3 linked regions of the Macaca fascicularis genome follow. The protein of the gene in region 1 interacts with the protein of each later gene in a biochemical or structural test. Links are inferred from orthologs where the notes say so. Each region holds a gene or a part of one and is shown on either strand. Other genes may lie near its edges.

Evidence for each region.
Region 2: the proteins of KIT (region 1) and MATK form a complex in vitro, tested with the Homo sapiens proteins (2 studies listed by BioGRID). The link is inferred for Macaca fascicularis from reciprocal best matches to the Homo sapiens genes KIT and MATK.
Region 3: the proteins of KIT (region 1) and KITLG form a complex in vitro, tested with the Homo sapiens proteins (3 studies listed by BioGRID and IntAct, with this or other methods). The link is inferred for Macaca fascicularis from reciprocal best matches to the Homo sapiens genes KIT and KITLG.

What each region holds. Positions count from the first base shown.
Region 1 is NC_088379.1:79,243,385-79,248,923, forward strand, and holds the start of KIT (mast/stem cell growth factor receptor Kit), read right to left. Parts: upstream 3,842-5,539; 5' UTR 3,784-3,841; coding exon 3,717-3,783; intron 1-3,716. UniProt on the Homo sapiens protein: Tyrosine-protein kinase that acts as a cell-surface receptor for the cytokine KITLG/SCF and plays an essential role in the regulation of cell survival and proliferation, hematopoiesis, stem cell maintenance, gametogenesis, mast cell development, migration and function, and in melanogenesis.
Region 2 is NC_088393.1:4,522,665-4,528,203, reverse strand, and holds the start of MATK (megakaryocyte-associated tyrosine-protein kinase), read left to right. Parts: upstream 1-2,112; 5' UTR 2,113-2,380; intron 2,381-5,539.
Region 3 is NC_088385.1:95,440,227-95,445,665, reverse strand, and holds part of KITLG (kit ligand), read left to right. Parts: intron 1-1,163; coding exon 1,164-1,273; intron 1,274-2,235; coding exon 2,236-2,303; intron 2,304-3,404; coding exon 3,405-3,444; 3' UTR 3,445-3,481; intron 3,482-5,439. UniProt on the Homo sapiens protein: Ligand for the receptor-type protein-tyrosine kinase KIT. Plays an essential role in the regulation of cell survival and proliferation, hematopoiesis, stem cell maintenance, gametogenesis, mast cell development, migration and function, and in melanogenesis.

The sequences.
Region 1 (5,539 bases):
CCTTCCTCATTCTGGACTTACAGCTGTGGCAATATCTATTCAAGTTACCAAAACTGCACATGAAATCTGCATATTTGGATTCCTGCAAATGTCATTTAATCTCAACTTTTAAAAGTTACCACACATTAATGCAGCAAAAGAAAGCACTTCCCACATCCTAGCCTGCCAACTCTTAAACTAAATTCATTCTGAAGAAAATGCTGCCACAGCCTTGACCACTACTTTGAAGGGGTCCCCACACTGCAGTCTAGCTCTGAGAATTCCGCTAGAGACACCGAGGTTCATTTCCTTGTGTCCTTCTTTAATCAGCTGGAAGAGACTTGAGGAAATGAGTCAAAACCCTAAGGGTAACTTCGAAGGGCTGTCAACAACAGCAGCACAATTCATCACCACAACAACATCTGTACATAAATGTGCTCCAAGGGAAGCCTGCACAATACTTGGCACATTTCTGACGAGAATTTCTTTTGGGAGAAAAAATGGCTTTGGATGGTATATTGTCGTTATTTCTCACCATGCTGTCCAGGGTAAATAGCCAATGGCATCAGCCATTATTGGGGGTGTTCTCTTTTACACCTATGCACAAGACCATTTTTATGTTTTGGAGTGGGAGATGAATTTTTAACTGGCTTGCATCATCATTTTAGAAATAGCTTACCTTCATTTCTGAGGGACGCTAACTAGAATGAGACAGCTAACAACTAAGGCCAGCATACCACAGGGTCAAATGCCTACAACCCTTCCTCCAAGCTAAAATTTAATTAATCCTCCCTCCACAAATACTCCCCTTTCATAAGACACCCAATTCTAAATATTTTTCACCAAAATTGGGAAGGCAGTGACATTGGCCATTCTGCATTCCCAGAACTTCCAACAATCCCTGGCACATAGTAAAAACTCATTAAATATTTTTGAATGAGTCTTACTACAGATTCCGGTGAATCATGTGAATGGTTATAGAGCTGGGCACATAGAGCCAATCTCATCAGGCTTCACCACTGATGACTTGGCGCTTATCCTTAGCCAGTTTCTCCAGCTGTAAAATGTTAGGGGTAATAATAATACTACTTCCTAGGCTCATTGAGACTAGCGGAAATAGCAGGTAAAGCCCCAAGCAACAGGCCTGGCACACAGTTTCCAACTGAAGAGCAACAACTATGTATAACACACATGTCATACAAAATTTAAGGCCCATTAGAAAGCATGTTATAAATGCACAGCATACATGATTTAGAGAGTCATGAGGAAAAAATATGGGGATGAGTGGGGGAAAAAACAGAATAGGGATAAATGAATTATCTGGGATATTTATTTGGGATATTTCCAGCAGGAAAATAATTTAGACTGCCTTGCGTCCAGCTGCTGAGAATGACTCCAGCCTCACACCTGCAGGAATGAAGCGGGGAAGGTATGATTCACCATTCCTTGCAGCTTCATCCTGTTAGGCACAGGAGCTGTAATAATGGGGTGGTGGTGGGGGAGAAGAATGACGGTTAGGACAAAGTGGGCACCTCCTAGCCCTCAAAGGGCAATACAGAGAAATATATGGGAATTGAGGGGTGGGAAGCATAAGCCACAGCTCCTTGCTGCAGCCAGGGGCAGACGGTCAGATGCACCCATACTCCATGAGGTCCCCGTGAGCAGGAGAGGCAGAGGAATTTCAAGGTGGCAGACAGGGACCAGGGGAATAGTTGAAAAGAGTGCTGAGTCTACACTCAGCACATTGGAAAATTCTGGACCCAAAGGATCCTTCATGATGCAGATGCCTCCTTGTACTCTGGAGGACACTGGGTTCCCCAGAATTTAAGCAACCTGCCTTAAGCAACCTGCCCAAGGGCACGCAGCCAAGAAATGGCAGAGAAAAGGAGAACCCAGGGGACAGATCAAGGCTTTGTCGTTACACCACACTGCCCCCCCAGGAGACAGACTTAAAATTCCCTTTGCCAAAAATCTTTTGGGAAGAAGAAAACCATTGATTCTTTTAATTTTGTAAAAGGGAGATATTCGATGTGGTCTTTCTAGTCTCCTACTGGGGTCTAGTTCACATACCTTAACTGATATTAAAAAGGTCAAGGCACAAAAACATAAAGACCAGATGTGTTGTTTTAAGCTAGGTGATCAAATCCTCCAGGGAATCTGAACACTCCCTCGTGACCCCTGCTGACCCCTCCTGCTGCACAGGGGTCCAGATGCAAGGCCTCTCTGCCCCCACAGGAAAGCCCTCACAATAGTTACAAGACCAGGACGCGGGAGACTGCGCCTGGAGACTTTATAGAGAAACTGACCAGTAGTAGACAGTCTCACAACCGTTCATTGCGCCGCTTCCTTTCAAGCGCTTGATTCCAGCTAAGACTCACTTTCTATCCTTACACCATCAAGGTAACCTTAAAGGTTTGTTTTAAAAATGACCTGGGAGAGAGCAGTGCTTCAGGAGTGAGCTGGGCGACCTGCACTCGCGCGCACCAGCGACACCTGGAAAAAAGGGAACGAGAGGCAGAAATCTGACCGAGGGGCTCCAGCAGCCGGCAAATCCTTCACCTAAGACCCAAGTTCCCGCGCGGATATATCTGGTTTTTTGTTATAGCTTTAAGAACTGAGTAGGATTTGCAGAAAGTTCCACTCCATCTCCCACCCCACCCCCAGGCAGCCCTGAAGTATAGATGTCCCCTCCCCGGGGACAGGGAGGCGGGCGGTCACTAATCTCAAAAATTTCCGAAGAAAACAGGACCTGCGAATACAGGTCGCAGATACCGGGACTACGGGCTTCCAGAGCCCGCCAGGCAGGCCGGGCACACTGGCCGGCGTGCTAGGCAGCCGGGATCAGGGCACGCATAGTCCCAGCACGCTGTCCCTTGCCTTCCCGGAGCAGGCGGCAAACGCAGCCTCCAGCCGCCCCGGGGCGCGTGGCAGGAATGAAACGGCGCCGCGGCCGAAAGGGACGAGCACAGGATATACGAAAGCAAAAAGTCTGCAACCTAGCGGCTGCTTTCCACACGCCCTGCCCAAGTTGTCCCCGTACACACCACCTCCAGGCTCGCGGGAGTCCGGCCCCACAGCCACACGCCGCGCACTCCCAGAGCAAAACCCTAACCCGGAGGCGGGGAAATCCGCAGGCTTCGATTCGTCTCCACGGGTGGCGCCGTGAGCAGAGGCGGCAGCGGGTCGGTCCCCAGCTCTGGGCACAAAGAGCGCCTGCGGTTGGAAGGCAGCAGCCGCAGAGGAGAGAAAGGGCTCTCTAACTTTGCCCTCCGCGCGGCGGAGAACCTGCAGGCAGGTCCTCCTGGGCACCGGTCACACACACGCAACTTTTAACAAAAGGAAGCTGCGGCCGCGCCTCGCACAGCGAGAGAAGGCGCTCGGTGGGAACCCCTGAGCCCCTCGCCTCCGCCCCCCGCGCAACCTCGGCACAAAAGCCACCCCAAACTCGCACGCAGCCTGCAACCTCGCTCACGCCTAACCTCCCCTCGCTGTCCCCATTCCCGAGGAACCCCGGCTTCGCGTCCCCACCACTAGCAGCTGGGGTCTCCTCGCGCAGGTGAGCGAGGCAAGGCGCAGGAGAGTCCGAGGGACACCTGGAGTCTCCCCCGGAGACTGGAACGCACAGGCACTGAGGGCCCGCAGTCCTCTCTCCGGATGCACTCCGGCGTGTACCACCCTCCCGGGCACAGGCTTCGCCGAGGAGTCGCACGGTCGGGGTGCCAGCCGCGGTGACCCACCTGTCTGGACGTGGAGCAGGAAGAGCAGAACGCAGAGAAAATCCCAGGCGCCGCGAGCGCCTCTCATCGCGGTGGCTGCGCTGGGATCCGAGCTCTGGTCCACGTTCCAGCTCTCGCCCAAGTGCAGCGAGCGCGGCAAAGCCGAGCCCCCAGAGCCGTGAGCGCCGAGCAGCAGCCCCTCCTCCCAGCGCCCTCCCTCTGCGCGCCGGCCACGCCCCTCCTCGCCTCCCCTCCCTCGCGCCCGCCCGGGTCTCGCTCCTTCCCGGCGGCGTCTGGCCCCTGCTCTTTCGACGTGTTAATGCCGGGGGGCTGTGCCCGCGGGGAGGAGGAGGGCGCGCGCGCGCCCTAGCTCCCAGCTCTTGACCCCGGAGCCCCTTTCTCTCTCCACCTCTCCACCCCTGGGATGTGGTCGGCCCGCCCGAGGCCGTTCCCGGACCAAAGAGGTGCTGCCCGCTCGCTTTGTGAAGCTGGGCACCACGCGCACGTTAGGGCACGGGCCCGCCACCTGCCAGGTGCTCCCCAGACAATAAAGGACGGCTGCCCGTCCCTCGAGCACGTTCGGGCGGGAGGAGGCTGGACGCCGCTGCTGGTGGAGGTGACACGGGGATGGGGAGGGGAGCGTTAGGAAATTGAGCCCCGACATTACCCTCCAGGCCTGTTAGGAGCGCGTGGCACCGCGGTAAAGGCTGAGCCCGGCTTAGCTAATTGTTTCTGCTCAGTTTCTCCACCTGCTTCGTAACCTGTAAGAATACAGTGGGTTCCTATTGGTCGGCGTGGCCTCCGCCCAAGAAGCCCCTGCCGGGACTTGTGTGGAGATTGGGGCGGTGAAGTGGGGAGGGGCGCGTTGCAAAGTTTGCTCTGGGAGCCCAGGTTTTCATACACATTTCCCCCTCTCCCCCCAACGCTGCCAACCCCAGTAATGATTTATCTGCCTCTGTATCAGACGACAGTTTTAGGGCTAGGGATCCCTGTGTCCCTCTTAACTGCCCTTGCCGGTCCCAGGAGCAGAATAAAAGTACAATGATTCTCTTAAGCCAGATTTCACTGCCCGGAAAGTGCTTTATCCACAGTCTCATGGTGGATCCTTGAACGGAAAGCAACACGGTATCTGTATAGGGGTTAATAGTTCTTCCCCACACCGACTCTTCTTTTCATGCTCACCATAACAGCTTTGTGAGGAGGGTAGAGCAGGTATGTTTATTATTGTAGTGAGGGAAGACCCAGGGCTTGAACCCTTATTTGAAGACCTACTCCAAGAAAGATGAGCTTTCCCTATGGATTCTGATAAACTAAAAAGACATCCCTCCTGAGAGCTTAAGAATGGAAAATAAGTGGCAGATGCCCATGAGAAAAAGGGATAGAACAGATACACCTAGACTCTTCTCTGAAGTATCATCCAAAATTTATAGTTGCCCAGCTGCCCCACTCCATTTAATGTTGAAAGCTCTCCTGTTGTTTAATAGTGTGAGGACCCAGGTTGACGTAAGAAAAATGATTTTTAAAGTTAATCACTTAAAAATTATCAGTACTAGAGGATGATCAAATGATCAATGTGTATAATTGCCTCTCTTTAAATGTAAGTATTTATTCACTCAGCAAGCATTTATTTAGTGTCTGCTGTGGAGCAACGAGGAGCTAGGTACCAGGAGTACTATTATTAATAGACAGATAAGCAGATGTGGCCCCTGCCCTCACAGTCCTTATAATCAAGTATGGGGACCTACATCCCAGTCTCCCAGCAAAAGGTTCGAGTCATGTGGCTGTAGGAGAACTGAAATACAAAAGGTCTCTGTGCTCTGGGCCATCAGATCTCATGTTTTTCT
Region 2 (5,539 bases), on another chromosome or scaffold:
CTGCAGCCTGAATGTGGACTGGGAGGGTCCCAAGGGGCTGGCACCGCTCAGTGGCTGCTCCCCAAGGCATGGGCATCCTCAGGCTGTCCCCTCACAAGGGTCCCCTGGGAACACAGACACACCGGCTGAGAATCACCCGTCCCAATGTCTCCCATAACCCAGCTCTCTGCCTCGGTCCTTGAGGGTTCCCCTGGCCCCATCCTAGAGACACACAGTGAGATGCTCCGGAGGCTCCCCGAGGGCTTCCTGGAGGAGGAGGTAACTACACTGAGTTTGGAAGAGATGGCTCTGCCCACAGAGTACTTGCCCCGCCACGTTCCCAAACCCTCAGAAGGCAGGCGGAGGGTGTTCAGATGCTAAGGCCTGGTCACAGTGGAAGAGTTTCCTGACAGCTTCCGGCCCACAGGACTTCCCTGGCAGTGTTTGTCCGGGCAGGTGGGGAGCAGAGTGGGGAGGAGGCAGATGCAGGGTGGGGGCGGCGGGACAGGAGTGGCAGGGGCTGGGTGTGGAGGGACTGCTGTTTCATGCCTAGACCAAAGGAAGGGGGTGGGGAGCCACCAAGGGGTCCCCTTCTAGTAGGGATTATCTATCAGCAACAGGAATTGCTGGTTTAGCCTCCCCGGAGGGCAGGCTGCCTCTAGGCCACTGGCCTCTTCCACCTCACACCCTCTCTCCTGCTTTCCACTCTATGCCAAATTTCTTGGGAACTTCACCTCCCTTCCTACACACTCCGTCCACACACAGCCCCTCTCTTCATCAGCATCGCGGCAGCAGCATGGCCATTTACTCAGGGCCCAAGATGATGGCCACCACCACCAGGGAGCCCTCCCAGATTCCTCTGTGCTCCCGGCCAATCCATGAGGAGGATATCTTGTCAATTCCAGTTCCACTTTTTTTTTTTTTTTTTTTTTTTTTGAGACAGGGTCTCACTCTGTCACCCAGGCTGTAGTGCAGCAGCTCGATCTTAGCTCACTGCAACCTCCGCCTCCTGAGTTCCAGCAATCCTCCCACCTCAGCCTCCCGAGTAGCTGGGACTACAGGCCTGCATCACCACGCCCAGCTAATTTTTTGTATTTTTAGTAGAGACAGGGTTTCACTATGTTGGCCAGACTGGTCTCAAACTCCTGACCTCAGGTGATCTGCCTGCCTCAGCCTCCCAAAGTGCTGGGATTACAGGCGTGAGCCACCGCGCCTGGCCTGTTCCTTGAGTTTAAACCATGCATCTTTGAAACGATTTGGTATGTGTCTTCCCCTTTAGAATGTGAATTCTCTGCCTGTCAGGAAGCCTGTTACCACCAATTGGATCGTCATTGTATTCCCAGATCTTGGATCGTCATTGTATTCCCAGATCTCGGGCAGGCCAGGTGGACACTAGCAACTGAGTCAACCTCAGTGCTTAGAGCCACGCTCTGACACCAAAAGACGTGTCTCTTTCTGGTGGTTAACAGAACACCATTTGTCGGCCAGGAGCAGTGGCTTGTGCCTGTAATCCCAGCACTTTGGGAGGCCGAGGCAGGAGGATCACTTGAGGTCAGGAGTTTGAGACCAGCCTGGCCAACATGGTGAAACCCTGTCTCTACTAAAAATATCAAAAATTAGCTGGGCATGGTGGTGGGCGCCTGTAATTCCAGTTACTTGGAAGCTGAGGCAGGAGAATCGCTTGAACCCGGGAGGCAGAAGTTGTGGTGAGCTGAGATCGCACCGCTGCACTCCAGCCTGGGCAACACAGTGAGACTCTGTCTCAAATTTGTCTCCATCTCATTACCGGAGAGAGACTACAGCTAAGGCTGCGGGGACAGAGGGAAGGGACAGGGGAAGGGGCACGCCCTGGCAGGCCTGGCGGTCACAGTAGCCCCTGGTGGGAGGCACCTCGTCCCCTGCTGTGAACCCCAGGCCTTACCGGCAGCCTGCTTCCTCCCTTACGCTCTGGGAGAGGCGGCTCTCGGAAGCCTCCCACCCACGGTTCCCGTTCCCATCCCCGGCTCCCCGGGAAGCCAAACAGGATTCCCACCACCAGGTGGTTGAAAACCAGCCCCGCTGACAAAGAGTTAAGTCGGCCCTCCTAGCAACTCCAAAAAACCAAGTTTAGGCGGCGCGACAGCAAAATCAAGCAGTTGGTTAGCAAAAGGATTGGGTGCAGATGGAGGGACCGTCTGGGCTACGGAGCCCACGGGCCTGAAAAGCAGTCGCTCCTGACCCGTCCTGCCCAGCCCTCGTCCCACTGGGCCGCGGTCCCCGGAGCAGGCCGGCGGGTGGCGGGAAGACACCGGGCTGCAGGGGGCTGGAGAGGCAACCCCTCCCTCCCTCCCCGCCAGAGCACTGGAGCGCGGGGACCTGGGCTGCGGATGCTGGCGGCGAGCCGGGTTGCTAGGCGACATCGGTGAGTGTGGGCGGGATGATACCCGGCGTGTGGGCAGGGCTGGAACCCAATCCGGCAGGCGGGGCTGGAAAGACAAAAACGGAAGGGCAGGCTGTCACCTGCATCTGCAAGGTCAGGGACAGGACAGGACGGAGAGGCGGCCGCTAAGATGCCCTGAGTCCGCCGGCCCAGTCACAATCAGTCTTGCAGGCAGCATCTCCCTGGCCAGGCTCAGGGGGCGTTTGGGAAAAGATTGGTCTTGTCCCGGGATGCCTCCCTGGGTTAGCTTCTGGGACAGAGAAGATGTTTCGGGTGATCGGATTAAGACCCACTTAAGGTCTTAATTAAGGTGGAGAAGCCACCCTGGGTGGAAAATGGTCCCTCCCAAGTCTTGCACATGAAATGCATTAGGTAGCATCAGCCAGGTGCGATGGCTTACGCCTGTCATCGCAGCACTTTGAGAGGCTGAGGCGGGCGGATCACCTGAGGTCAGGAGTTTGAAACCCCGTCTCTACTAAAAATACAAAAATTAGCTGGGTGTGGTGGTGCACGCCTATAATCCCAGCTACTCGGGAGGCTGAGGCAGGAGAATCGCTTGAACCCAGAGACCAAGGTTGCAGTGAGCCGAGATTGTGCCACTGCACTCCAGCCTGGATGAGAGAGCAAAACTCCGTCTCAAAAAAATAAATAAAAATAATAAAATAAAAAATGATGATGGCAAATTTAATGTTACATGTATTTTTTCCACATAAATGTTTTTACTGTGAATTGGGTTTTTCCCATTATGAAAAACTTGGACAATCCAGAAAAATGGAAGAAGGAAAACAAAACCATCACAAAACAATCAGCCACTGTGAACACTCCATTTCCCTTCTGCTTTTCTTTTTTTTTTCCTGGAGACGGAGTTTTGCTCCTGTTGCCCAGGCTGGAGTGCAATGGTGCAATCTCGGCTCACCACAACCTCTGCCTCCCGGGTTCAGGTGAGTCTCCTGGACTCAGTCTCCCGAGTAGCTGGGATTACAGACGTGTGCAACCACGCCCGGCTAATTTTTGCATTTTTAGTAGAGATGGGGTTTCACCACATTGGTCAGGCTGGTCTCAAACTCCTGACCTCAGGTGATTCACCCGCGTCGGCCTCCCAAAATGCTGGGATTACAGGCCTGAGCCACCGCGCCCAGACATCCCGCTTTCTATTCTTGAATGCCTGGTTGTTTATGGGTGGATCATTTATACCATCTTGCTTCCTGCTTTTCTTCACTGGGTATCATAACGACATTGATTCATCACCTGTTTACTGTGTGCTTACGATCTAACTTAATTCTTCTCATGACCTTACAAGACACATTTTATTTTTCTTTGAGACAAGGTCTCGCTCTGTCACCCAGGCTCAAGTGCAATGGTATGATCTCGGCTCACTGCAACCTCCGCCTCCTGGGTTCCAGTGATTTTCCTGTGTCAGCCTCCCAAGTAGCTGGGAACACAGGCGTCTCCCACCATGCCCAGCTAATTTTTTTGTATTTTAGTAGAGACGGGGTTTCACTGTGTTGCCCAGGCTGGTCTCGAACTCCTGACCCCAGGTGATCTGCCTGCCTCAGCCTCCCAAAGTGCTGAGATTACAGGCATGAGCCGCCGCGCCCGGCCTCAACTCCTGTTCTTTCAGCTGCTCATTCATTCCGTATGTGTGTTGAACGCCTGTGATGTGTGCTGGGCCACCATTCATGTGGTTTCTCCATTTCTCCCGTTGAGGATGTTGACATTTATTCCGTAGACAATCAACAAACACTCATCGCCTTCCTTGGGGAAGCCAAGGCTGAGCCAGAAGCCGTCACTTCACGCAGTGAGGGGGACTCTGGGCTCCGGGCTTTAGTCACAGCGTGGTCCTTTAACTTATCAGCTTTGGAGCGTGGGGACAGCTCATGTTACCGTCTTAAGCTTCCATAAAACTGGGGACAAACTGGTAGCACCAACCGTGCAGGGAGCTGTGAGAATTCAGTAAGAAAATGCATTTTAAAATGCTTGCTGCACAGAAAGGTTCAGGCACAGGGACCCAGGCTCCATGGAGGGCAGGGATGAGGGAGGGGCTCTGCAAATGGGCCATTAAGACCAAGTGCAGTGGCTCATGCCTATAATCCCAGCACTTCAGGAGACTGAGGCAGGAGGATCACTTGAGCCCAGGAGTTTGAGACCAGCCTGGGCAACACAGCAAGACACCATCTCTAAAAAAAAAAAAAACAAAAAATAGCCAGATATGACGATCCATGCCTGTAGTCCCAGCTGCTTGAGAGGCTGAGGCAGGAGGATCACTTGAGCCCTGGAGGTCGAGGCTGCAGTGAGCTATGATCATGCCACTGCACTCCATCCTGCACGACAGAGTGAGACCCTGTCTTTAAAAAAAACCAGGCCGGGCACGGTGGCTCACGCCTGTAATCCCAGCACTTTGGGAGGCTGAGGCAGGGGCATCACCTGAGGTCAGGAGTTCAAGACCAGCCTGACCAACATGGTGAAATTCCATCTCCACCAAAAAAAAAACCTTAGCCGGGCTTGGTGGCACATGCCTGTAATCCCAGCCACTTGAGAGGCTGACGCAGGAAAATCACTTGAACCTGGGAAGCAGAGATTGCAGTGAACCAACACCGTGCCATTGCAAAAAAACAAACACAAACACAAAAACAAACAAAAAACCTAGGCCATTAAAGTCACACATAAAATAGTGACCCCAGATGCGTACTCTCTTGTGGCTTCTAGAACGCTGGATGCCAGGCTATGAGAAAAGCCTTCCAGATGCTGCTAATGTTTTGGGATTCCCGCCCAGTGACCACCCCCAACCCGCCAACCACCCCACAGTGAAGCCGCCCCGTGGTGAGGAGGCTTCCGTGAGCTCTGTAGCACTCTGTCATAATTGTTAGTCAACAGAGAGACCAAAATCCACAAAGAGAAAAGAAAAGTAACTTGAAGGAGAGACAAAGAGGGTAGAAGAAAACAGTTCTAGAAAAATCCTTATGTTCCTGATTAAAACACAGAACAGAGGCCGGGCGCGGTGGCTCAAGCCTGTAATCCCAGCACTTTGGGAGGCCGAGACGGGCGGATCACGAGGTCAGGAGATCAAGACCACCGTGGCTAACACGGTGAAACCCCGTCTCTACTAAAAATACAAAAAACTAGTCGGGCGCGGTAGCAGGC
Region 3 (5,439 bases), on another chromosome or scaffold:
GGATCACTCAAATCCTGCCCAGATGAGCTTCCTCTCCACACAAATTCTCTGCAGGCTATCTTTGCATAAAATCAAAACTTTGTTGTCAGCTTAAGCTTTGTCCCCAAATAGCCTTCATTTGGGCCTTGAGGCATACAATTCAAATCTCATTGATTCCTACTGGATAGCTGCAGTGGAAAGTATTGAAAGTCATTCGCTGGAGGTCTAAGCAAATCTCTTCTGATAAAATTCTTTTTGTCTGCCTGCAAGAGGGACAGTAGTATCCCTGATGGACCAAAGACCTGGTTCTTAAGCCCCACGCATGAACAAGTGAAATAAAAAAAGTGAGATAACATTGACCTCTATAGGATGTGAAGCTAAGTAATCTATGGGCACTTCCCCCAACCCTCCCCCGCACTGCCGCCCCACCACCTAGTCTTTGCTGTTTTTCTCCCTCCCTCTCTCCTGCAGGAAGATTGCTGCTGTGTCTTAGTCAGATTCCAGGATTGCATCTTGGCTCATAGTCTTAGGGAAGGAACTGTCAACATGGTAGTCACCGCACCCTCAGAGAGCAGGTCTGCTTTCCTTAGTGAGGTCTCCCACACAGCTTTGTTTGAAGCCCCCTCCTTAGATGCTATCCTTCTGCCTGAGAAAGGTTTTAGGTAGCAAATTCCAGAATATCTCCCTCTTTAGTAAGCTGCTTTTTGCTTTTGAGTCTGGTCTTTCCTTTGGCCTGAGTGGTGAATTTCAAGACTTGGGTTTGGTCTTTGTATAGAACAGGAAGAACGTGGTGTTTGGCTACCTTGATTCTGGGACATCCGGCTGACCCAACGTAGCCAAATACCAAGATAAAGGCATGAGAGATAGATTTGTTTGATAGTGTAAGTCATTTCCCCCCCAGAAATATATTAAGTCTGTGTTCCATATGTGGCAGAATTACCCAAGCCAGATTTCTTTCTGTCTCTGTGATTTCTTTCCTTTTTAATGCATTCATCTTTTGGAGACTACCTGGACTTATATTGCCTTGCAAAAGCAATATTCAGCGGAAAAATCAATCTTTTGAATACTTTAAACAGATATAGGTCCAGAATGTGTTACAGAAACAGTTAAAAACAACCACAGCATAAGAGCAAAACTTCTAGGATGAATATGCTGTATTCATCACTGTGTTCTTTAAATTATAGGGAAGGCCAAAAATCCCACTGGAGACTCCAGCCTACACTGGGCAGCCATGGCATTGCCAGCATTCTTTTCTCTTATAATTGGCTTTGCTTTTGGAGCCTTATACTGGAAGGTAAGTGTTGCCATTCCTTTTTTTAATATGCTATGTTTACATAAATTATTAATCTTTTTTCCTCAAGAAATGATCCATTACGAAAACAGTGAATTCTACCTTAGTTTATAATCTAAACAAAATTTAAATTTTAGAAAGTTTCCCATTTCTCATTACATCTGGAGACAATCCCTGTAGCTGATTATTCACACTTAAGAATTAGGAACTTGCCGGGCGCGGTGGCTCACGCCTGTAATCCCAGCACTTTGGGAGGCCGAGATGGGCGGATCACGAGGTCAGGAGATCGAGACCATCCTGACTAACATGGTGAAACCCCGTCTCTACTAAAAATACAAAAATTAGCCGGGCGCGGTGGCGGGCGCCTGTAGTCCCAGCCACACAGGAGGCTGAGGCAGGAGAATGGCGTGAACCCGGGAGGCGGAGCTTGCAGTGAGTGGAGATCGCGCCACTGCACTCCAGCCTGGGAGACAGAGCAAAACTCCGTCTCAAAAAAAAAAAAAAAAAAAAAAGAATTAGGAACTAGCGTTAATAACCTGAACTAAATATGAAAAGGAAGATCTGCCAAAAATCATATGATATACTTAAAAGATAAATAGAAATGTCATTTGTATTATCTGCTATTTTTGGATTTCTACTCTTTTGTTCTCTTCTTATTGAAGCCTGTCTAAAATTTAAAAATGTGCAAAAATCATTGTGATTCAGCTTCTTGAAATGTCTTTTGAATTTGATTAAATGTCAACTTCTTTCTTACTCTTTCTCCCCCAACATCCTAAAAATGTTGAGTTGATGGTACCGTGCAACTTTCATAATTTTTTATTACAAAAACATTTTGCATGCTACATGCTGAAAAAAACTGTTATTGGAGTTATTGACATAAAAGATAAAAGTGGAGTGCACTTACCTCTTAAATATTAGACCATTCATTGATCGTTTTACAGCATGTGTGTTTCTTCTTTTTCCAGAAGAGACAGCCAAGTCTTACAAGGGCAGTTGAAAATATACAAATTAATGAAGACGATAATGAGATAAGGTATTTTGTTTTGCTAAATGTGTGCCTAATCAAGCATGGCATTGCCATTTCACACGCTGTGTACATGCCCAGAATGTCTTTAAGAAGTCCTTAATTCATGACAGTAGCTCCTAACCAGTGAGTCCCAACTCTTTATCCATCTTTCTGATGTCTCACTCTCTCTTCAATGCTGCATCTCGATTTACCTGTAGAATACCTTCACATAATTGTTTTCATGACCCTTCTTAGGGTTTATAAAGGGGTTACCTCTGCTTTCTTATTTAAGTAAGGCAGCAGAATCTTCTCAGACTCCTAGTTGTGGAACTCTGGAGGCATATTTGCTCATGTTCTTTCTTTTCCACACTTTTATCAAAACATACTGATTCAGCTCTCAGAGCCTTTTCCTAAGCTTAGTTCTTTTGGTAGGAAGCATTATCATCACTGACATCTTTATGATCTCATGAGTTGCTGCCACTGATCTTTTCTTTTGCCCTTCTAAACTCAACCTTTAGTCACACTCTTCTGTAAACACTGGTTCATAGTGTGACTTCTTATTCGAAATATGTTCGTGATTTTCTCTTGTATATTTAATATATCTTTTATTTTACTCTGGCTTTCAGAGCCCTTAACTTTTCTCAGCATGCTCGTTGTTTTCTGTAAAGCCAAATGCAAAATTTGCTGTAAGATGACTTTCCGTTCTCTGTAGCTGGCTCTTGTTACTCTTTCACCTTACCCTATACTGCCCAGTGCTCATATGTTCCCTTACCTTTGATTATAATTTTCATTTGGTGTGTTGCATTCTCTCATGTCATGCCTATTGTATACACAGACACATATGAAATGCATATAGGCATGTTTGGTGTGTGTATATGCATATACAGAGAAAGAAATGTTTTAACTACTTTGAAAGACTACCTTAAGACAAATGAAGTCTTCCCTCTTCCCTATAGTAATAAGAAGGTAAGCTCCCCATTAAATTTTGCAATCTTCTACTACTGTATTTACAGAAAAGCTGCCTTTTACAATGCCCAGGTCATGGTGTACCTCAGAATCTCTGACTAAGAGCAAATAAGCATGACTTTTTTTATTTTTTTTAATTTTTTATTTTTTATTGTTTTTCAGTATGTTGCAAGAGAAAGAGAGAGAGTTTCAAGAAGTGTAATTGTGGCTTGTATCAACACTGTTACTTTCGTATATTGGTAAGTTTTTTTTCTTTCCTTTTTTTTTCTTTTTTTCTTTTATTCTTTAAGTTCTAGGGTACATGTGCACAAAGTGCAGGTTTGTTACATATGTATACATGTGCCATGTTGGTGTGCTTCACCTATTAACTTGTCATTTACATTAGGTATATCTCCTAATGCTATCCCGCCCCCCTCCCCACCACGCCATGACAGGCCCCAGGGTGTGATGTTCCCCGCCCTGTGTCCAGGTGTTCTCATTGTTCAATTCCCACCTATGAGTAAGAACATACAATGTTTGGTTTTCTGTCCTTGAGATAGTTTGCTCAGAATGATGGTTTCCAGCTTCATCCATGTTGCTATAAAGGACATGAACTCATCCTTTTTTACAGCTGCATAGTATTCCATGGTGTATATGTGCCACATTTTCTTTAACCAGTGTATTATTGATGGACCTTTGGGTTGGTTCCAAGTCTTTGCTATTGTTAATAGTGCCACAGTAAACATATGTGTGCATGTGTCTTTATAGCAGCATGATTTATAATCCTTTGGGTATATACCCAGAAATGGAATGGCTGGGTCAAATGGTATTTCTAGTTCTAGATCCTTGAGAAATTGCCACACTGTCTCCCACAATGGTTGGACTAGTTTACAGTCCCACCAATAGTGTGAAAGTGTTCCTATTTCTCCACATCCTCTCCAGCACCTGTTGTTTCCTGACTTTTAATGATCACCGTTCTAACTGGTATGAGATGGTATCTCATTGTGGTTTTGATTTGCATTTCTCTGATGGCCAGTGATGATGAGCATTTTTTCATGTGTCTGTTGGTTGCATAAATATTTTCTTTTGAGAAGTGTCTGTTCATATCCTTTGCCCACTTTTTGATGGGGTTGTTTGATTTTTTTCTTGTAAATTTGTTTAAATTCTTTGTAGATTCTGGATATTAGCCCTTTGTCAGATGGGTAGATTGTAAACATTTTAATTCAAACTGAAGTATTTAGCTAGAACTATACAGCATATGAGATGCCAGAATTTATAAACAAACTTCATTAGTAAGTGGTCTATCAAGCAGATGTCAGCATGTTGGCTGAAGTTGTTACATAATTGAAATGTGCATATCTAATTCATTGTGTATTCTCCAGTTTTGAAAGGTAAGCAGTGTTTGTCCTGACTAGTGGATTCATCTTGTATGGGAGATGCACAAAAAAATTAACAGTTGCATGTTTACTTGGACTGTTTTTGAGGCCAGAAAATTAATTAGACAAGGGGAATATAGCAAATTAGGACTAAAATTAAGTATTACTAATAGAATAAAGACATATGGAATCAATTTTATTTAGGTGTGACCACCATAACATGACGGTGTCCCATGTGTTAGATGCTGAAACAAGAGAAAACCAGAATGTTTCCCTGCCATTTTAAGGAAAAAGAGAAAACATCCAAATATCTTACAGTCAGGAGAGTAAGATTTTCAAGGTCAATTGCCACTTTCCACATGACTAGTAATAATTATGCATTATAATAGTTCAGAGCCCAGGATACACTGAGCATAAACGCATGGCAGACACATGCTGTGATTGTATGGGTCTGCGGAAGGATTGTGGAAGAAAGGAGAGTAAGATGTGGCTAGAAGTTACTAGTGATCATTATCTCCTGTCCTGTCTACTTTCTCTGCTCCCTTGCTGCAGATACTGTTGCAGGAAGACCCACAGCTGCCTTAACTTAATCAGTATTGATTCATGCTGTCCCTCACTTTTGCTTCTGCTAATTGGCTGTTATTTTTGTTACTGTCATGGAATCCTGAGTGCATTTACCACAGTGGCATGCGAATATTCTCTTCTCTTTCTAATTCCTCATTTCTTCTGTGCATTCCCTCATTGTCAAAGGATTATTTACTCTCCTCTTTATTACCTAGATAGTCTGTGGTGAGTTCCTTCTTTACCCGGCAAGTCACTGCCCTTCCAGCTTTAACCCCTGT